Linked DNA regions of Struthio camelus. The protein of the gene in region 3 binds, or shares a complex with, the protein of the main gene of each other region. Links are inferred from orthologs where the notes say so. Each region holds a gene or a part of one and is shown on either strand. Other genes may lie near its edges.

What was found. Proteins that work in one complex are often made in the same cells at the same time.
Region 1: TMEM237 (region 3) and TMEM216 share a complex: the UniProt entries of both Homo sapiens proteins name them as parts of the tectonic-like complex. The link is inferred for Struthio camelus from reciprocal best matches to the Homo sapiens genes TMEM237 and TMEM216.
Region 2: TMEM237 (region 3) and TMEM17 share a complex: the UniProt entries of both Homo sapiens proteins name them as parts of the tectonic-like complex. The link is inferred for Struthio camelus from reciprocal best matches to the Homo sapiens genes TMEM237 and TMEM17.

Annotation. Positions count from the first base shown.
Region 1 is NC_090946.1:3,982,645-3,989,323, forward strand, and holds TMEM216 (transmembrane protein 216), read left to right. Parts: upstream 1-4,521; 5' UTR 4,522-4,541; coding exon 4,542-4,587; intron 4,588-4,740; coding exon 4,741-4,842; intron 4,843-4,953; coding exon 4,954-5,046; intron 5,047-5,310; coding exon 5,311-5,512; intron 5,513-5,681; coding exon 5,682-5,697; 3' UTR 5,698-6,168; downstream 6,169-6,679. Other genes in the region: TMEM138 (transmembrane protein 138), read left to right, coding at 1,071-1,198, 1,296-1,467, 2,946-3,021, 3,241-3,353. UniProt on the Homo sapiens protein: Part of the tectonic-like complex which is required for tissue-specific ciliogenesis and may regulate ciliary membrane composition.
Region 2 is NC_090944.1:140,245,701-140,253,075, forward strand, and holds the start of TMEM17 (transmembrane protein 17), read right to left. Parts: upstream 3,012-7,375; 5' UTR 2,921-3,011; coding exon 2,815-2,920; intron 1-2,814. UniProt on the Homo sapiens protein: Transmembrane component of the tectonic-like complex, a complex localized at the transition zone of primary cilia and acting as a barrier that prevents diffusion of transmembrane proteins between the cilia and plasma membranes.
Region 3 is NC_090947.1:10,247,630-10,255,426, reverse strand, and holds the start of TMEM237 (transmembrane protein 237), read right to left. Parts: upstream 3,010-7,797; 5' UTR 2,975-3,009; coding exon 2,942-2,974; intron 2,077-2,941; coding exon 2,041-2,076; intron 1,180-2,040; coding exon 1,148-1,179; intron 147-1,147; coding exon 136-146; intron 1-135. Other genes in the region: MPP4 (MAGUK p55 subfamily member 4), read right to left, coding at 4,012-4,203, 5,215-5,349, 5,850-5,958, 6,830-6,923. UniProt on the Homo sapiens protein: Component of the transition zone in primary cilia. Required for ciliogenesis.

The sequences.
Region 1 (6,679 bases), on a different chromosome or scaffold from region 3:
TGGGGGAGCCCTGGGCTTGGAGGGGGTCAGAGGGCTGTGTGGTGGTGACGAGGGGCCGCTGGGGGAGCCCTGGGCTTGGAGGGGGTCAGAGGGCTGCCTTGGGGAGAGGGGGATAACCCCTGCATGGCAGCCAGGCATCTGCCTTACCTGTGCTCCTTGGGGACAACGTGCTGCTTTCTCAGAGCAGTGCAGGCCCTGGCCTGGCTGTCAGCGATGGGAAAGCCGTGCAGGAGGGCTGTGTCTCCTTGCTCAGCCCCAGTCAGCCCTGCTGTTTGGCGTGTCCTTTCTGACCAGCCACCTCAGACTGGGTGCAGGGTCCAGGAGCGGGGCAAAGGAGAGCGATGCTGCGTCGCAGCATGCCCAAACCTGCTCCCATAGCACGGCCTGCCCAGGCCTGCCCATGAGCTGGTGTGCAGCTTTGGCGTGTGGCTTCCACTCACTTGTCCACCTTGACAAGTGTAAGCAACCTGCCTGGACTGTCCTCCTGTCTCTGCCCCGGGACTCATGCATCTTCCTCATCCCTGAATTTCTTTCCATCTGTTCCCTCAGGTTAGGGGCTGCTGTAAGGCTTAAGAGTGCGAGAGAGAGATTCAATCTGAGTCTGCTGCACGGTGAGAGACAAAAGGGGGGAGACAGCTTATTCATAAGAGCCCCAGCTTGCAGAATAAAGGCAGGAGGATGGCTCTGCATAGGAACCTGCAGGCCTCGCTGCTTGGGGTAGAGAACTGGCAGTCTCATTGCTACATATGTGCAACATAAGAGGAGCCAGGCAGGTTGTTCCCTGAGCTGGGCCTGGCTGCAGAAGCACAGAAACCAGCAGGCTCCTTTTTGGATTTACTCTGGATTTTCTCACTGTGGGGATCAGGAAGAGTTGGATTCTGTGTCAGTTGTGGCGTTTGTGTCTGGCCCTGCTGAGCTATACCCTCTGCTCCCCTTCCAGGCCCCAGGTGCTGGCTGTAGGGAAAGGCTGTGGTACGAGAGGTGACGCTGAGCCCCTCGGCTCCAGAGCATGAGCTGGCCTTGTCACTTGGGATGCCGGGGCTGAGGGCTTGTGCCCCTGGGAAAGGAAGATGCTCCAGACCAGTAATTACAGCCTGGTGCTGTTCCTGCAGTTTCTGCTGCTTTTCTACGACCTGTTTGTCAACTCCTTCTCTGAGCTGCTCCGCACAGCTCCTGCTGTCCAACTTGTCCTCTTCATGTGAGTGCCAGGCAGACCTAGAGGTGTGAGCGGGGGACAGGAGGGCTGGGGTCTCCCGTACCACAAGGGTGCTTACAACCTCTCTCTCCTCCTGCAGTATCCAGGACATTGCCATCCTCTTCAACGTCATCATCATCTTTCTCATGTTCTTCAACACCTTCGTCTTCCAGGCCGGTCTGGTCAACCTCCTCTTTCACAAGTTCAAGGGGACCATCCTCCTGTCAGCGGCCTACCTGGCACTCAGCATCTCTTTCCATGTCTGGGTCATGGTAGGCTGAGAGGGGTCCTGGGCTGCCAACTTTCCCCAGAGGACATGCAGACAGGGCACTGGTCCCCTTGCTTTGCTGGCCACAACCCCTGGCTCCCCTCAGCCCCTCTCCCACATGCTGGGCATCAGTGGAGGGCCAGAATCTCCCCCTGCACCTTTTGTCCTGCACAGTTTGGAAACAGCTGCTCCCCCGGGGGATTTGGGGAAGACTTAGCCTGCCTGTGTGAGCAGCTTTTCAGTAGGTGGGTGAGTGTGTCCAGGAAAGCTCTCTGCTCCCAAGAGGGCAGTGAAGGCAGGAGCAGTGGGGAATTTAGCTGTAGAGATGGGAGAGGTCTTCTCTCAGCCTCTGGCATGACTCCCCCTCCTCACTGCTCCTTGTCCCCCTGCAATTGCGCATGTGCCCCGGCCACGGTTTTTGGGCTTGTAGGCTGCAGCAGTGACGCAGCAGATGTTCCTGGGCCGTGCTCAGCCCAGGAGGCAAAGAGAGGTCATTTGAGAGGCAGGCACTGAGCTATGAGAAGCAGGGACTGGCCTCACAGTCTGCTCAGTACTTGCCCTGACTGGAAGGGAGCTGCCACATCCCAGCCCCCTCCCTGGTTGACCTGCTGGACAATCCTCTTTCCCCATGGAAAGCCCCCTGGCTCTGGCGCTGCGCTGGCACACACTGCTCTGGGTAATCCCCAGCCTGAAGGCCGTGACAGCAGCACCTTGTATTACCTGGGATTAATCTCCAGCAAATGCCAGCGCTCAGAGGCTGGCTGCAGCCCCCCATCCGCTGGCATCAGACAGCTCAGCAAGCTGTAAGGGTTCCCTGCTCATCTGAGAAGCATCTTTCCCTTCTGTCCCTGGCCTTAGCGCTCCCTTGTCCTCTGCCCCAGGCACCAGACCCCAAAAGTAGCAACCCACAACCCCACCTGGCCCCTGAGTACCCCCCTGCGTAGCCCCAGCTATTCTGGGCGTGGGGCAGGGACAGTGCCCCAGCTCCGAGGGTGCCACCCCCACCCCGCTACCAGAGCGCTATGGTGCCGAGGATAGTAAGCGCTCAAGGGGTGGGAGCTGCCCGAGTGTGCAGCCGGGCTTGCGCTGCCCACACACCACCCGGGCAGGGGATTGACAGGGATTTCCTGGGATCTGAAGTCTGAAGCTAGAATAGGTCCTGGCTCGCTGTCTAAATCCCTTGAGCTGCTTAACCTTTGGGGTAGGGCGCTGCTCCCGGCTGCACGCTGTCTCTCGGAGTCAGCCACCGTGCCCACGGGTTCTTGCCCAGGCAGAGAAGGATCTCGTTCTCCCCTGGTGGGGAGAGCCTCAAGGCAGCCACGGTCCGTAGGGTGCAGGGACAGCCTTCTCCTGCTGGCGTTCCCAGGGCACCGTGCTGGGGGAGCTAAAGGTGCAGGGTGCTGAACTCTCCCCGTCCCCAAGCAGTAATGCAAGGGTTATTTCTTGGCCCTGACGCCCCACACATTTGTCTGTCTGCCTCAGAACCTGCGGTGGAGAGAATCCAGCCGTTTCGTGTGGACCGAAGGCCTGCAGACGCTTTTTGTCTTCCAGAGATTGGGTAAGGGCTCACCTTCTCAGGGTGCTGCCTGCCTCACTGGCCATGCTGGGACAGCCCACAGCAGCCCTGGCATCCATGTCAGGGTGGTTGTGGGGGTCCTGTACCATCAGCGGAGGCCCCTGGACCGCCTCTGGGAGCGTGTGTGACGTAACTCCTCAGGGAGGGAGGTGGGGGTGGATGTTCCTGCCCGCCTGGCCCTCACCTCCCTCTCTCCACCAGCGGCTGTGCTTTACTGCTACTTCTACAAGAGAACCGCGGTGCACCTGGGCGACCCCCTCTTCTATCAGGACTCGCTGTGGCTGCGCAAGGAGTTTGCTCAGCTCCGTGGCTGACAGCTCTGCTCAGGCTTTCGGCTGCCTGTTGCCTCATCTCAGCATGCGCAGGCAGCTCCCGGGGTGAGCAGCGCCCTTGCACGCAGGATCAGCGTTTGCCCATGCCAGCTCTCCTGGGGTTCCTTCCATTCCTCCTCGTCTGTGGGCCCAGCCGCTGCCTTGCCAGGGATGGAGCCAAGAGGCCAGAGGGCTTGTCCAGGCCCTATGACTCCAGTCCAGACACATTCCTCCTCTTCCTTCTCTTCCTCCTTCTGGGGACCCATCCTTCCACCTGCTCCAGTGTGGCTCATGCTCCGGCAGCAGCAGGAGCTGCAGGATGCACGCTGCGGGCCCAGCCGTGCAGCAGGAGGGCTCTATCCCGGCATTACATCCCCTGCTGGGACTTAGTTTTTGTAAATTATAAAGAAATAAATTGGCTGTGTTTTCCAGCGGCTGTCGTGTGTCTGTGTGCTGCGGGCACCCCCAGGCCGCTCCTGCTCTTTTCTTGGACTGCGATGCCGTGTTGACAGCAAGCTTCCTTGAGTGACTGTTCTGGAGAGAACTGAACCAATAATGTTATTTACTCATTAGCAGGCCCTAGCTAGCTAGGCAGTGTGTTTTCAGTCACAAAACTGGGACTGTTTTCACCTTGCATCACCTCTCAGTGTCATGCAGGCCACTGGTCCCAACTGGGGATGCTCAGACTGAGGTAGAAGCAGTGGGGGCTCTGGGTGGCATGGGTTTATCCCCGAGCTGCGTTGGGCAGAGGGAGGAGGATCGTTCATGCAGTGCATAGGTGAGAGCTGGTGAGATGTGAAAGAGGGGGAGCGGAAGAGCAGGTTCCCCGTGTCCCGGTTGGGGACAAGGGCTGCAGGACATACGAGAAGGGCAGTGGCTCTGGGTGGCCAGGGGGAACATGGGAGCCAGCAGCTCACCCGTGAAAGCACAGTTTCCCTGCCAGTCTTTGGACTTCGGTAGGAAGCGCTTGAACAGAGGGAGCGCTGGAGCGGGGCCGCGGCTCCTGGTTCTCTGCCGCGAGCAGCCGCCGGCGCCGCGGCGAGCCCGCCGGGCCGGGGCCGCGAACCGGCGTCTCGGAGGTCCCCCAGTCCTCCCCGGCCATAGAGGGGGCGGCGAGAGCGGCCTGGCGCATGCCCCTCCGAGCGCTCCCGGGAGTGAGGGCGGCTGTGGCGGTCTCCATGGAGATGGAAGATGGCGCCCAGGAGTGAGTGCGGGGCCGGGCTGGGCCCGGGCGCCGGTGGGTGCGGCGGGAGCCGGGGACAGCGGGGCTGGGGGAGGCGGGAGGCGGCGGCGGGAGCCGGGGGCAGCGGGGCTGGGGGAGCCGGGGGGCGGCGAGAGCCGGGGGCAGCGGGCCGGGCCGCCCCCGCCGACGGCCGGCGTCTGCTCGCAGGCCGGCAGCGCTCCTCGGTGCCGCTGCAGATCCTGCTCTTCCTCAACGGCTGGTACTGCGCCACTTACTTCCTCCTGGAGGCCTTCATCTTCGTCTACAAGGGTGAGCCCGGCCCCCTCCCCGCCCCCCCGGCCCCCCCCTCCGTCCCCGAGGGCGGTGGCGGCCCACCCGCGGCCGTGCCAGCCCTGAGGGCGGCGGTGGCTGTGCCCGCAGTGCTGCTGTTGCCCTACCCCTCCGCCAACCTGGCGCTGGATGTGGTCATGCTCTTCCTCTACCTGGGCACTGAGGTCACCCGCATCTTCTTTGGTAAGTCCTGGGGTAAGCAGGCGGTGGGGGCCTGGCATGGGCGGCTGGGGCGCTCCAGCCTTGCACACCTCCAGGGCCCAAGCCCACGGTGGCTGGTGTTTGCTCAGGACCCCAGCAGGAAGTGCTGGGGCTGCAGCAGAACCATTTGCTGTGTCCCCCACGGCGGGGTCCTGGCCACAGATGAGCATGGACCCCGCTGGGAGCCTCAGTACCCTTGTGCTGCATGAGGTAGAGGTGAGGCCACAGTAACGTTGCGCTGTGCAGGCTCAAAGGGCAACCTGTGCCAGCGGAAGGTGCCGCTCTCCATCAGCTTGGCCCTGACCTTCCCGGCGGCCACGATGGCGGCCTACTACCTGCTGCTCCAGACCTACGCCCTGCGCCTGGAAGCCATCCTCAACGCCATCCTCCTGGTCTTCTATGCTGCAGAGCTGCTGCTGGGCATCCTCACGCTGGCCTCCTTCTCCAGGTAGTGCTGCAGCTGGAAGCCTGGCCACGTGGTGCAAGGAAGGAAATAACCTGCCCCCCAGCCCGGCACGGTGGGAACCAGGCAGGGCGAGCTGTGGGGTGCAGCCCCCGCCCTAGCCTGGGGGCCTGCTGCTGCCTGCTGACCCAGCCCCATCTCCCCTTCTCTGCAGCACGGATTCGTACTGAGGGCCAGCGCAACACGGTACGATGCCATTCCCGAGCGGCACAGGTACAAGGGACGGCAGGAAGCCCGCAGCCATGCTGACAGCTCCGTCGTCCAGCCCACACCCTACCCCCAGCTGGCCGTGGTGGGAGGGACAGAGATGTGCTGCCGGGCTGGCCCCGCTCCGGCGCGGTCGGGGCGCTGGGCCGAGCGCACGTTGGCGTCGGCGGGTGTCTGTGGCTCAGCCTGTGCCAACGGGCAGCTGCGGGGCAGGGCAGCCTCCACCCTGCGCGTTCCCCTCTACTCTGCCTGCAACACGTGCAAGTAACTCGCTGGGCAGCACCCGCCCTGCTGCCGTCTGGGACTCCAGCTCCACGTAGCAGGATCCGGACCCCTGGGCTTGTGACACGCAGGTCAGTTGGAGATACGGAGAATTACTTTTTCTACTGCAACCTCAGAATAATTTACTATTTTCCAATAAATATTTATTTTTACCTGGTGCCTGGGCATGTAGCTTCCCCCAGGGCTGTTTGGAGCCAGCGCAGGGGGCAGAGGGGCTGCACTTGCCTGCGTGGCCACATGCCGGCAGAACCAGTGCAGGAAGCCCTCACGCATGTTAGAGGTCAGGTACCGGTGGAGGCCAGGTACCGCTCTGCCTGCCCTTCTGGTAGCCCCAGCGCATCTGCCTCCGTCGCTGGCACCGGCAGCTCCAAGAGCCCTGCTCCGCTCTCGCCACTTGCCAGGAAGCAGCAGTATGAGTCATTCTGGTCCTCAGCTGCACAAATAAGCCAGGCCTGGGGAAGGCTGTGCCAGGGCCTGCATTAGCAGGGAGCTGTGCTCACCCCCGCCCCCCCCAAAAATCTCTGAGCCTGCCACCAGCACCCACCTGTGTGCACAGAGCACCCGAGGGAGTCTCCCAAGCTGCCCTTCCCTCCCCTGCAGCCTTGCACTGCACAGGGTCCATAAAACACCCCCTCTATTATTAGAACTTGTTACAAAGGAAAC
Region 2 (7,375 bases), on a different chromosome or scaffold from region 3:
AATATTAAGAATGGCATTTTCAGAGACCCAGAGGAAAAACTCTGCCCTATTTTGGGTTACACCATTTCCCAGGATCTAATGTAACTTTCAGTTCACAGGATATAGAATTTTGATCCCTTAGTTATAAATTCAAATCAAGTGTTTGACTGTGGAGTAAATCATAAGCCACCAGCTAATCAACAGTCTCTGAACTAAATTGATAGGCTTTGTTCAAGTAGTAGTGTATCCTGACATTGTAGAAATAGTAAGTGCCAATTTTATTTTTGTTCTCTAAGAAAATGTCCCAAGTTTAAATGAATACACTTATGGCTTATTCTCGTTTTGTATCTGACCCTCCTGGGTACAGACTTGCTGCTAGAGAGCAGGTTTGCAATGCCCACTCTCCATTTTGAATCTTTATTTAAGATAGACATTTGAATACACAGTGACACTGCAAGATGACAGTAATTCTTTTACTTCTTTGGAGCTAACAGTTCGTCATACGTATCAAACTCAAACTTATTTCCGTCTCTCCAGACTTTAAAGGATAAGTTGACACAATGCAAAGAAAAAAATATTGAACTGCATAACACTAGGCAGGCTGTAAATTCTAAAATTAGGACTTAGCCATAGATTTAGAAGATTAAACTCAAACAAAGAAAAACTTACCAGGGCATCCCAAGAGAATTGTTTGTTTTTAATGGACTAAGTTTTATTGCCACAGTCTAGTTAACCGATGTCGCATGCAATTTACTTCAATTACCAACAGTCTCTTTTCTCACGTTTTCCCTAAATGCAGTTTGCAGACAAATCTTCACTTGGTACTACCTGAGCAAGTTTAGAAAGATTTCATTGTGAGCTGCTGCTCTGGACCTGCTGTTTTGTATCTAAGTCCCGTGCCCCAGCGTGCCACCATGGTGATATTCAATTGAAACTCAGATTATCAGCCATGTTTTGTTCACCTTTGACTTCAGAACCACCTCTCTTCTGATAATGCCATCTCTTGTCATATCTTCCAACCATTCTCATACCTGTCTTTGTTCCATCTCAGTCTGTCATCCCTGTTCCCCGTTCCACCACATGCAGCCTGGTACAGTCTGTTCCAGAAGTCTTTATGCCAGTTGCAGAAGTGTTCATGGTAGCTACTGGGCTAGGTGGGAAGGGAGGAGGATTTGGGGACAGAACTGGGACAAACCTTAAGGGTAGGGTTTGATGGGCGAGGATTTGCTATACTGAAACAGAAGGTGCAAGACAACCAATATTTTTAATAATCCCATTTTTAAATATCAACACTCTCCTACATCTGCATGGAATGAAAATCTATAGGTACCTCAAAGCAGTTTTACTGTCTACCTAAATTTGTCCGAGGAACTGTCAGCTGTTCTAATGAATGAATCCCTAAATACCAGATCTAGGGTACTAACCATGGATTGTAGAGGCACTGAGATGCAATTCTAAAACACTGTTTTATCTTTCAAAAAATCAGACTATCTAATTATAACCAACTGTGTTTCTGTCCCATTAGATGAAAATGTAATGTTATTCAAAAAAAGCCAGTGAGAATGTTTTGGGTACTTTTAGGTCTTAGTGACAAGGCATGCATACTGGTAACTTCTTCTCAAGTTTTAAGACTGTGTTTTGGATGAATGTTTAGCAATATAAGCCAAGTCTAATTCATCTTTCTACACCTAAATCGAACTACTGTTTACTTTTTGGGATTGTAAAAATATGTGGAAATGCCAGACAGTAACCCAGTGGCCCCTTGGCACCAGGGCAACTCACTAAAGTATGTATGTGTAGACTTAAGATTCAAAAACAGGACCTCAAAGAGGTTAATGGTCTATTTACCATTGGTTTCAATGGGCTGGACATTCATGTAGGAGTTTTCAAGAAAGAAAAGGTAAAATAAATGATTAAAATAAGAAGCTATTCCTGGAGTTAAGAAAAGCGTCTCAGTGGTGCTTGGTAGCTGTAATTAGGAATTGATCTGGCTAAACGAGGAAGTGCTAGCACTATAGATAGACCGGTCTAACGACACAAACAAAATGGGTTCTCTTGAAATAATAATAGCTTTTTGCTTTATTTTATCATCCTGCAGGTTTCACTAGCAAGGTGACGAAGCTATCGGTCCTTATTGGTAAGAGCTGCAAGAAGAAGGTTGAAGGTCTGGGTTTTTGCTTGGTTCGTCTCCTTCTGCTCTGAGCGTCCGGTGGGTGTCCTAACTCTGCGTAGGACTATTGGGCTTAAAACAATAGCTCCCGTCTTTTATTTGTTCTCAAGGTTCTCTATAAAATCATTACTACGTTTTAATTTCGTATAGGTGGAGTGTACAGTGTGTAGTATTGGTGTCTTTTATCGGTCATATTTTATGCCGACTCGCTTATTGAGCTGTAAAGGTGGGTGCAGAGGGTCGTGCGGAGCTGCTTTTAAATCAGACTGTTGCGCATTTAATATTTTAAGTGCCCGGGAAGCCAGTCTTAACCCTGCGCCACTGAAGCACGTTAAGTGCAGGGGGAAAGATTACGGCCGCTGTTGTTTTACTCCAGAAAACACCCATTAAGTTACACTACATCATCGACAGCGAAACCAGAGACCACGTAGAGACCGCCAGGCCCGCGCCGGCCCTCCCTCAGGAGAGCGGAGACACCGCGTAACGGCCGTGGGCGCGCGGCCCCGCCCCAACGGCCTCTAGGCGTCGGCTGGTGCCGCCATCTTTATTCCTGGCAAGCCCCTCCCCTCCCCCGCGCGCCTCGGCACCGTTCCCTCGGCGGGCGCTGTCCCCCGCCGCCATGTCTGTCGCTGGCACGACGCCCGGCCAGCCGCCACCGCCCTTACCTGCGCTGTTGCCCGGGGACTGCGGGCCGCTGCGGCGGCTGCTGTCGATAAAGACAGTGCGGCTAAAGGAGCCGAGCCGCCTCCTCAGGGGCTCGGGCAGCGACATGCTGCGGCGCCGCGGCCCGCCGTTACTGTGGCGACGGGGCGGCGCGCAGGCGCAGTGGGGCCGGCGGCGCGTCCGTTGGCCGCCTCAGGACGGCGCTCGGCGGGGGGAGGCGCTGGCGTGTGGGTGGATATGTTTTTTCTAGTTTGTTTGGGCACGGCTCGTTATTATTATTATTAATTTGTTTTTTTTTTTTTAAATCACGGTTACAAAAGGTTGTTTCAGCAGGCGGTTGCTTCCCTCCTGAGCAGGGCTGTTTTCCATCTCTATGAGGGTAAATTCAGGGGATCCGTAGTGTTCAGTGATAACTAGGGAGGGAGAAGTGGAGTAAGGGTGGACATTGTTGGAGCTATTTAATTCCTCAGAGTGGGTATTGTTTTGAGTGGCTATCATACAGCGTTGGTTTTATGATAGATCGAGGTAAAACTCAGCTAGAAAATATCCTTTCCTCGAAGAAACCTGTTTGTGGCACAGCTGAGTTAAAAGTAGTGGTGATATCAGCAGAGCCTTTTAATTCCAGTTAGCTTTTATGCCTTATAGGAAGTCTTCCTGGGCAGTAAGAAAAGCTCTTGTTTTATTTTGAACGTATAGGTACTTTGTGCCTGAACCCTAATAATGCTGTAATCTGTCACCAGGATTTTTCAGAACACTTAGGGCCTGGCTCCTTCTGAGGAGAAAGGATGCGTTTTGTAAGCCTGGAGGAAATTATGTTCTGCCTGACCAGAACAAAAGAGCAACTTGTGCCCTTTCCTACGAGGGCTGATAACTTTTGAACTTTTGTGATTTTTATGTACCTAATGTGACGTGGCGACTCCCTTCCCTTCTCCTTCCAAAAATCATATTTAGCTACTTCCCTGGGTGCTCATTCTCTAGTATGACTTTCCAAGCTCAATTATCTCTGACTAAATAATTTAAAGCCTAGTTTAAATTTAATTTTGCCCTATTCCACTGGGAGAACCCCAGAGACAGATGAAAAACATGAGTTCTGAGAAATACGTTTGGTTTAGTGCTGATGAATGATGTAGTATTCACAACAGATACTTTTCAAAGAGCTTCCCCAAACAGATGTATGCCAGCAGGGACCTACATAAAAAACTTGGGTCCTTCAGAAGAGGTGAAGTGATTTTTAAATAATTGCCGCAGGTTGGAGGGGAGAAGGGTCTCGAGGAATCCAGAATTCTGGAAGGATCCCAGAATTTCAAGGGATGCTGTGCATGTCCCCTAACAGGCAAGGAAGGCAGCAGGCTTTGCTGTGGAAGTACTCCTAGAAAATGAAGCTTAAAAGGTAGGTGATGCTACAGATAAGACAAAACAGAAGCTTAATCCTGTGCAATGCTGTATGCAGTTTCTGTTGAATCCTACAGAAAGGGATGCAAAACTTAAAACAGGTCCTGGGCACAAGAAGGCAGATATGCTATTAAATGTAAGATATTCCTTACAAAATAACAAAAGAAAAAAGATAATGTAGCTCTGTCTGTACAGCACTGACCACAGCTCAGCAAGGCTGCCTGGACTAGCCTTGAGCTAGCTAGCTCAGGTTTGCTGCTAGGACAGCTCTGCAGGGAAATAATCTAGCAAAGGCAAAATGAGTATTTGTCCAGCTCCTTTGACCTGACTGTATCTGACTTTGAGCTCTGTCTTATTGTAGGCATACTGACAATGGTGCCTGAGTGAGCTGGCCTATTTGATGGAGTAGACATACCAACAGTCTTGTGTCCCAGCCAGACATGGACCCCAAAGCTCAGAGCTGTGAAGGCACTGGAGGTATACCATAGTTTCAATGACTAAAATCTGTGCCTGTGTGCCTGCTAATTAGCTGACTACCAAGTACAGTACTAGAAGGGTTTAAAGCTCTCTTTAACATTTACGGCAACGTGGAAAAAAAGTGTTAGGTAGGTTGCTGAACGTTTAAGAAATGCAATCTGTATTTGTTATTTTGCCAGTTGCCAGTAGGTGCTAGAAACAGGTTTCCTACCAGACTCAACAAATGATTTTTGAGTGCTTTTTGCATCATCTTGCACCTCTTGCTGTAAAGTTGTGCTATAGACAGTGGCAAGATGATGAATCCGTGCAAGATTTCTAATCAAGTTGCCTGAAACCCTGTTTTATTGTTGTTGCCTTGGTCCTAATCTATTTCACACCCTTCCGATTAGGGGTGCACTATTCCCATATTCTCAGTTAATTACACCCAAGGAACAGGTGTATATGAATTAAAAGCGTGGTTGGGTTTTGATTAAGGAAGATCTTCATGGAAGTTGCAGGGTTTTTCATAGTATAAGCTGGTGGCCTGTTAAAGTTCAGCCTTTAAGGATTTTCCTCTTGATTACTTTTTCAGAATGGAAGGAGGAATTTTTCCTAGAATGCACAGTGTTGTTCCTTTCCTGTTGCCAGTGGCTTTGAGCAGGGGCCCTGATCTCCCAAACTGATTTTCTTACGTTCCCCCATTCTGAAAACCTATGAAGCATACAGTCGGGTGTCCTGTGAGCAGCTCTATGGCAGTCAATGGAACTTGGTAAAATTGGGCTCTGCACTTTCAAAACTGTGAAGCAATCCAGCTTAACAGTCAGTGAAGTGTGAAACTGAGTAGCAGGTAAAGGAAAGGCTGATGGAATGCAGATACCACAAGAAATGCCTGGATTTGCCATGTGAACTCAATTTCCAAACTCAAGGTGTGAATCTGTGATATTTGGCAGCCTCACGTTTATAGCAGATGGCCGAGCATTCCACACGTCCCCGCAAAATAAAATTGTGCACATTTTTATTTCGTGTTTTGGTGTCCGCTCAGACGCTTAAAATACTCCCTGAAGACGGAATATGCTTTTTGTTTTGCTAATCCTGCTTAATTTTCTTCAGGCTGAGTCGTGCATTTATTGTCAATGTAATGAACAGAATTCCTCTGATTTTTTTTTTTAGGGTTTTTTAGGGAGCAGTTTCAAGCAGAAAATAATCTGAAACCCTTTAAGTATCAGAACACCAGGGTATCTGCATTGATAAATCAAAGCTTCATATAACAGAAGCTTATAAATATATGCTATAAGGGGTGACAGAAAGAAAAACGCTTAGCCGTGTGTGACTATAACAGTTATGATGGCCATCTGTATAAATAGTGTAAGTATCCAAGTTTTATAATAAAGTTGTATATTGGCTTTTTATTTTTTAACGGAAAGGCATTCCGTTACTGAATTCCTTTGTGTCTATCCACCTATGAGTGCTTAAGGTAGAAATAGACAGATTTCCAGTTCTCCAGGCTTCAAAATAAGCTACTGAAATGAGAAACTGGAGGAAATAAACCCATAGTTGTGCAGCATATTAAGTGACTGTTTTATTTCTCTCGGCACATGCTAACTATAAATAAAACAAAAGTCACTGAAAATCTGCCTGAAAGCTTTAAATCAGAGGAATATTGGATCTTTGTGTATCCACAGTAGTCCAACTAAGTTGGTAGACACTGGCTTGGCTCCCAGACCGAAGCTCCTGGGGCTCTCTGGCAACAGCACTAAGCCATAAACACCAGATGCAGTATATCTAACGAAATTAAATATCAGCAGTTTTTTACAGCTGGCATTTCAGAAACACAGAGTTCATTTAAATGGTGCCAATGGTTTATCTTTCCACCTGAATCGCAATTGCTGTATTTCTGAATGTGCTGGTTTGGAATCTCACAAATGTTGTTTTCCCTGGCATGCCTGCGCTACTGCCCCTTAGATAGCTATAAGCATGCAAGCAACAGAAATCATTCTTCCCTTTGCTTGCCCTTTAATACCTGCCCAGTGTTTTAATAGAAATCCTGTAAAACATGTAAAAAGTGCTGGTGAACAGAGGTATGCACAGACAAGCAGAGTATAGGCTTGTTTTCTCCTTCTGTTCTCAGAAAGAAGTGACAGATTGGGAATTTTAACAAATTACAAATGCCATGAGGACTCTCTGTGTTTGAAAGGATCACGTTATTAGCTGTGACAGTGTCTGCCAGAGCAATTTCACAGCTGTGCGCCTGGCTTGCGGTACCCTAGGACAATCTTTTCTCCATGTCACTTGAATGCTACTCCCTGGTGTTCGTTTAACACCTAGAGGATTTTTGTGTCTGGTAAACAATTATTGCTGCTGATGAGACCTATTGGAGGCCCCTATTTCAAGCATTATATATAGCTGCAGTCCTTCCATGCATTAAATATATCTTGGCTATTTTAGTCTTAAGCATAAAGACAGTAGGGAAAAAAAAGCTATTACTTGCTCCCATGAATTGATTTTCTTCTTGCTGTACTTGGCATTTAGTTAAAACCGTTTCCTAGCTTGTTTTGTTTTGGCGATTTTTAGTTTTATAAAGCACGTTGGGAAACTCAAAGCTGGTGCTGCTGTTAAACCAGTTTTACTGTTTGTTTTGCAGAAGTACTAAAGGACTATATGGTACAGAAGGAGGTACTGTAAATGGATGAATTTTGAGCCATATTCTCACTTACA
Region 3 (7,797 bases):
GGTACCTAGGCAGCTTAAATAATTATCAACCTGCACCGCGGAAAAGTACAGGGACCAAACTTTACAGGGAGGATGAAGTGACATCAAAAGGAATTATTAAAGCTTGTAATTCTCTTTAATGTTAAAATAACTCACCTTGGCTTCCACTTCATTTTCATATTTAAAGGGGAAAGTGCAGAAGAGCAGCGTAAAAGGAACAAAGAAGAGAATTAGTTTTGAATCAATCACAGTTCACAACAGTGTTAAATTCACACCTGCCTTTTTTGTTTTGTTTGTGATTCATTCCCTCACCCCCACTCCCTGTTTCTTTTTATGAGCAATTCCATACAACAGAGTTAAGGGTACTAAACAATCATCAAGATTCAACAGTTTGTTCATGACTGCATACAGTTTCTTGATTGGTTAAGTCACAGATCAGATTAAAAGCTTTAATCACCTGGCTGTTTAATTACAACTTGCCTCACTGTCTGACATGTAACAGACTAACAAAAGAAGTTATGAAACATTTGCACGTGTATGTTACTAAAAACAGGAACGCAGCTTTTATACGTGATCATAAACACCAAATTTGCCTTCAGATACCTTGAAGGACTTCTGATGTACTATGCCACAAAGCCTATATAGTTGCCTTTCCTTCTGCACTATCCACTCGGATGCTGAAAATGACATGCCCGTATTTCTCTCTAAACTGTGTCATACTGCTATGCACCTACAAGCCTATCCAAGAACACCTAATCTTATTTTAAAAGTTTCTGTTATGATTCAAATATACAAGAGATTATGAAGAAACAGGGAAGGAAGGAAGAGGAGAAAAGCAGATTGAAAAGAGGAACATTAATAAAACTGCAGTAGATGTTAATAAACCTGAGGCAACCGCCTGTCCAAGACTTTTTAATAGGATTACTTCTCCAAGTAACAATAAATGAAGTTATATAATAAAGTTTCTCACCTCCTGTAAAACTTTAAAATGCTTTTACAGCCTTTGTAAGGGGTTCTGGGACAGCAAATTAGCAAGAAAATGCAACATTTTTAAAGCCTTCACGACTACTCAGACGTTCATCAAGTTTTTTGTTTTTTCATTTCATCACCTTTAAAGACCACTGCAGTACACAACTCCTATCAGTTCCGTAAAGTGAACTGATCTTACCTTGGCACTGGAGGGAGGGCACGAGGAGGGCACTGCAAGAGAAGAGACAGAGGCAAAAAACAACTTCTGTCAGTGCAAAATCACCTCTCTCCTGAGTACCTGTTAAACCACATCACAGAAAACAGCTATTTCCAGGTATGGTCAGAATATGCTAGGTAGGTTTAGCTTCTCATGCTCCCGAAACCACACTATGAACATCTCACGCATAAGTAAATGCAAGTGAAAATATGGAGAGACTCCCAAATGAAGAGGCTACATAGAAGTGCACAGTACTACTGAGGAATAATATGATGCTTTTACCTGAATTTGGATGGGTATTACATTAGGGACATGCACCTAATAGGCATATATGAGGTGCAGCTTGCATTTAAAGTTCGCTTGAAGAATTTTTGCGTTTCATATACGATACTGAATTCACAAGAAAGTTTATCAGTCATTTCATTTAAATATTAACCCACTGCAATAATTTAATAGCAATATACTTGCACACTACATATCATGAGCTGAGGGGTTTTTTTTTTAAACTAATGAAGCTGTAAACGCAGAATTACAAAACAAGAACATTCAGTAATGAGCAATAAAAAGGAAATAAGCTTATTTATTAGAACTTTTTTAATATGATAAAAAACTTTCATATTTACCAGGAGATCAAACATAACTAAAATCTAAAAATAAGTATCCCTTGTTAACAATCTGAAAGCCAGCTCTCACAAACCAGATAATTCTCTCTCACCTAGGAAAAGGCAGGCAGCTTACTTTCAGATTTTGTGTTATATAATTGCACCGGAAGAATATAGAGGAAGAAATGTTTGCCACACTCCAAAATACAACTAGAAATAAAGAAAAGAAATGAAAAAGACTGAGATCAATGGCTCAAAAATCTGCAAACTTACCACTTGTTTCTTTCCCATATCATTTGAAGCTGTTCCCTGAAAGAGGCACTGTGAACTGTGAATTGCTCCTCACGCCGCTTACTCTGAACCTCAGCTAATTCTCAACTAAAAATAAACTTCTCGCAGCCAGGATTAGCTGGAGGTGAACCTTCCTGTCCCCGGGCTAGGGCCCAGGACTACTCCCATTTGAATCAATGGCAATTTGCTGCGGGAGTTTTCCATGATACAAGTCCTTAATGTCACCTGCACTAAGAAACCCGTGACTCGATGCGCTGGTAAAGCGAGTGGTTTTCACTCGGGTTTGTTTAGGCGATGCAAACGTGAGACCCTGTGCAAGGAAAGGTTTGCAGGATCGGGCCTCACGTCTCTATCCTGGGTTTTGGTGCCATTTGCAGAGGGAGAGACGGGCACCCCCTGAACAGCACCGCACACACGGGCACAGCGAGGGAGGGAAACGAATGGATAAAACTTCAGCTCAGAGCTCACTGCTTTATTGCTTCCTATGCTTTTGCAGCAGCAATTATTAGGGTTTTTTTTTTTTTTTTTAAAGCATAGTCAGAACTTTTGGAAATTAAAGCCTGGGAACACCTGCGCAGCACTGAGCAGCCGCGCAGCAGCGTAACGCGTGCCGTTACCTCCCGCGAGGCACCGGCAAAGCGACGGCATCTGCCCCTTACTAAGCGAACCATGCGGGGGCCGCTGCCCGGCGGCCCACGCGCCTCCGCGCCCTCGGCCCAATCCTGCCACGCAGGAGAGATGCCACCGGAGGTGCCGCCAGTCCTCAGGACCCAAAAGCGCTCGCCCCAAACGAAGCGCCGGTTTGCAAGGACGTCGCTCTGCCAGCGGCCGCCAGCAGCGCGCCCACGGCTCCCGCCGCCCGCTCCGCCGCCGCCGCCCTCACCCGGCCGGGGCCCGCCCGCGCCGCCGCCGCCATGCCGCCCTCCGCTCCGCTCCGCTCCGCGCCGCCGCCGCGGCGCACGGGGAGGAGCCGCCGCCGGCTTCCGGGGCGGCGGGGCTGGGGGCGCGCCGCTGCCTGCCGCCCTCCTGCCGGCCCGCAAGAGGGGGACGGGCAGCAGTGCGCGCAGCCGCCGCCCGCACTTACCCACGTTAGAGCTGACGCGGAGAAGCAGCAGGCGGAGCGAGAGCCGCAGGACGGGACTTCGCTGGGGCTTGTAACCTGAGCGGTGTCTTTCCGGAGTGGTAAAGGCGCTCGCGGGGGCTTTCTCCGGCACACACCTGTAACGGGAGAGGAGGGCAGTGAGGAAGGTGGCCGCTGCTTCGCTGCCCCGTTGGAGCGGCAGAGCGTGCCGTCCCAGCCCGCACCAACGCGGAGAGGCTTTCCTGCTCCATTTCCCTCTCTGCTAAACCCACTGCTCCCGCTGCCAGCTTTTACTCACTCCAGCATACGGACCCAGAGAAGAACAAAAGGTTGATGTGGCGCGTACTACAAAGATAACTGTGGTTTCGAGAGTCTTTTTTTTTTTTTTTTTTTTTTTTTTACAGTAACGCCACTCTGCTTCTGTCTCGGAAAAAGAACAAGCACCCGGCCGACACCTGTATAAATAACACTGCGCAAAGGCTGCCTGGCTTGGATACATACAGAGTATCATCTGTCCGCGGGGCTCCCAGAACACGCAAGTATCACAATATCAGGATGCTCCTAAGAGGAAGGGAAGCGGGGAACTTTCAGTAGCTGAGTACATTATACAGGTACATGAAACAAAATAGAATTTTCTTTATTTTTGTAATTGACACCTCACAATTTTTTTTCTGGTACAAAAATGGATCAAACTGTAACATGCGGGAGAGCTACACAGAACATAGTACGATTATATCTCCTGCAGCAGCTTCTTTCCTAATCCTCTTCCAAATCCTCACATACAAAGATAAATTCTTGCAATCCCGACATCAGGATTATTCCTGAGGTAAAACATAAGCTATAATCTTCGTGAAGCTGGCAGCCTCTCAGAGTTACGGCTGAGTGTCTGAGCATATCCATATTGCAGGGACCCACTGGGGCTCATCCTGTGCACGATGGACTGCTGATAACAGCTGTGCAGATGCTTCTTGTAAATCATCATTCACAATCACTTGATCAAAGAACTGACCAAACTGGGCTTCCATTTTCTTAGCTGACTCTTCCATCTCCTGTAAATCTTCTTCCTGCAAGAGACCGACCAAATCTATCACGTTTGAGCGTTGGGCACAGAACCACGTCTGCAGGGCATCTGCAGAACCCCTTGGGCTATAATAAACAAGAGGCGAATAGACAGCGCAGTGTAAAGTATTTCCATTTACAATCGCTATCAGCAGTGGAGTATGCATGCTACAATCAGTTCTGAGCTTCTGAACACAGCTGACTGCCACATCTTTCCCAGTGAAAGATTTCACCTCTCAGTATGCTCCAGTATATTTTTCATTTGCTCCCAAAGATTACTTTACTGACAAGTGCCAGCAGAGGATGTTATGCACTGCAGGCAAATTCGGTTTGCAACAGTTGTGCTCTTACTCTGCATTTTAGTTTATCATCAGATTTCCAACATTCACATCTCTGTCTTAACAGTTATGATTCATTTCCATATAAAGTTATGGACTTAGGCCTCTGAAATTATAAGGCGCTAAACTTGATCATGATTTTTATGGAAGCCATGGTGACAAATGCACTAGACTCATTCTGAATGCAGCACAGAGATTTCCTATATGCAGAACTTGTTTGTTTACAGAATTCACTATAGAATTGCCATCAATATTATCATTAAGCAATGATAATCTATATGAAATATGAGTATATTTCTAATGAAATAATCTATATTAAGTACTTATAACTATAAGAAAAAATTGATTAAACCATTGAATGGAACACATTCCATATATTTCAATGCAAACAAATACATGTGCTGACTTAAATCTTGTCACAAGGCAGTTTAATTAAAGCAGACATTTACACAACAGCCTCTCTTTTAAAGACATTTTGGAGACAACGCCTCAGTCCCCTAGGTATGAATTATAACCCTTCCACTCCAATTCTGGAAGAAAAAACAACCAAAACACACACAGATCTAGTCATGAAGACACAATAATCTTTTAAAGTGTTAACATAGTAAAAGAATGCATTATGTTCTAATGACAAATTCCCAGTGTAATCAGCTGTCGTCTTCCACCTCCAAATCTCACCTTGAATTTCATGTTCACATAATAATCTGTAATGATCCTTGCATTTTTACGAGACTGCCTCATGCAGTTTATGCTGGATGGCTTGATGAATATAATGTAGGGCTTTAATTCATGAGTCCGGGCTACTTGAATGCCCTGCAAGTTAAGAGTAAAAAGAAGTTAAATTAAAGCATTTCAAGCATAATCACTCCCATTTTATTCCCATTAAAAAAAGCAAATTGTTTACAAAGTACTGTTATCTCCAGACCTAGCAGTAATCTTATTCAAGAACACCTGCTTTAACATGACCTCAGTAATAATCTCTGGTCCAGACATTATTAAGCACCTGCGCCACACTGATCATTTAATTCTGCATGGTAACCTTATTAGGAGAGGCTTTCAACTCCAGAGAATGACTGAACATTGTCATTAACAGGTCTCTACCATCAACCATCACTGTAGTATTTTTTTTTTCTACTAAGACCAGATTCAAAGAATACTCTATTATTAATAAGCATCATAAGCTAAAGTGAAAATAAGACAAGTCAGAGCAATTAATGCTATTCCAATAGCTCAAGAATGTACAGAGTTTTTTTTTTTTTTTTCCTCCTTCCAGGAGATGCCAATTGCAGGTTCCCTGCTCTTTTGCAACTCACCTGTGGTTCTAAATCTATTATACAGATCTTCCCTTCATCAAGGACTGTTCGCACTGCATCGACACTGGTACCATACAGGTAACCTTTGTACTCCCCATATTCTAGCATTCTGCAATAGCAGTGAGGGAGGAGAAAGAAAAATGAAAGAGCACTTGAGTCTCAAAAGGTTCCATTTACAGGTGAAATCTGCAAGTGTAATCTCTGTGATCAAGACTGAATGATGATAAAACATAACAAACATTATTGAAGAACCTCCACCTTTGCTCTCCCCCACTACAATGAGCATAACAGGCAGGACTATTAGAGCCAATCTGGACATCCCCAAAACATGCATTTTTACCCATCTTGCTGTGACAAATTGTGTGTTCAGAGGTTGCAATTCTGGTCAATCTCCAGACAACTATAAGGAAACTTCAATTATATTTATTTACAGTGATAAAACACTTGTAATTTATATAGTACTAATAATTTAATAATCAGAAGATCTCAAAACACTTTGTACAGCTCAAGGAGTGTTGCTTCTGCTGCTGAGCTGGTCTGTTTTAGTGGAGGAATTACTGAAGTGTAGAAGTGAGCAGACATTTGCAAGTTACAGCTCAGGTGCCTACATGGAGATGTCATCACTCCAGAGGTCCCACAGTGAAGATGTGCATATGGCATAGGTCTGGCTCACTGTTCAATTTTAGAAAACAGTCCAGTTTTAAGAAAGGTTAAACTCACAACTCAAAATATCACATCAGATGAGCTCAGGACTTGGAGATCACACTTTATCTTAGAAAGACTCTGAGATTAATTTTAGAGGACCTTGTTTGTCACTGCACAAGCACAACTTTTGAAGCTATAGCCTCAAATAATTTGACAAAAAATTTACATCAAACATATATAGCAACTATGAGGAGAGGAGACCAAACCCGAGGCCTAACTACAAAGCTTTTTTCCCATGTTAAGTGGCAAGAATGGAATTTGTCACTGCTAATTACCTGTGGGTGTACACCATGTTTTCAAAAGTTTCCTTTGATACATAGTGATATTCACGACCATTCATTTCATAGCTTTTCTGAACACGCGTGGTGTCTGGAGAGGAACAAAACCAACAAATTAACAAAAAAATGTAACTGCAAATAAATATTTGTAAGTTTATAAGTGAAAAATGAGACATGAAGGAAGATTAATCAGTATTTTCATAAGTAATGAAATTAGTTGATTCCATTTGTTAGTCCAGAGCAAAAGCTTTGTCTACTCTAACGGTTGCCCAGGGGCGAGTCCTTGAAAATTAGCAGGCACGTCCATACTTCTTGGGACAGAAGAGAAGTGGTTTATTCCAAATACTTTTGACTCAAACCAACCAGGAAATGCTTTAGACCCGCTTGCACAACTGTTTCTTCCTCTCCTCTGAGGCAAATTTCATGTTCATTCTGAAACATCCCACAAGTGTTTCCACACTTACACTTTCCCCATATTTGGGATCTTAAGCATAATGAAATGCCTAAAATTTCAGATTTCAACTTCAAACTCATACATTTCCCGTTTGGTTATCCAAATCACAAGTACCAAATAAGCTCAGGCAGAGACAACTTCTATGATTAAGCCAGAAATTAGGTTGCATAATTCTCAGTCAAGACAAGAAGGCTAATAAGGAAAGCTGCAAAGCCTAAGCATGAACTTCTATTGCCTTCATTCTCATATCTCATCACTTAAACACTACAAATTTATTCTTATAATATCCCTAAGAAGCATTCCTTTTTCAGAGCTGAGAAAAACAAACAACAGGATTAGACAAAACCATAAAGGTACATAAAGCTCAAGCTACAGCTCCTGAGACCCATAAGATAACTTTGGCTGATTTGCCAAAGTAAGGAGAAAGACAGTACTTTAAACTAAGCCTTATAAAAGCAAATGACACTAGCTTGCAATAGAGCTGAAAACCTTCTATACAGCAAAGCTGAAT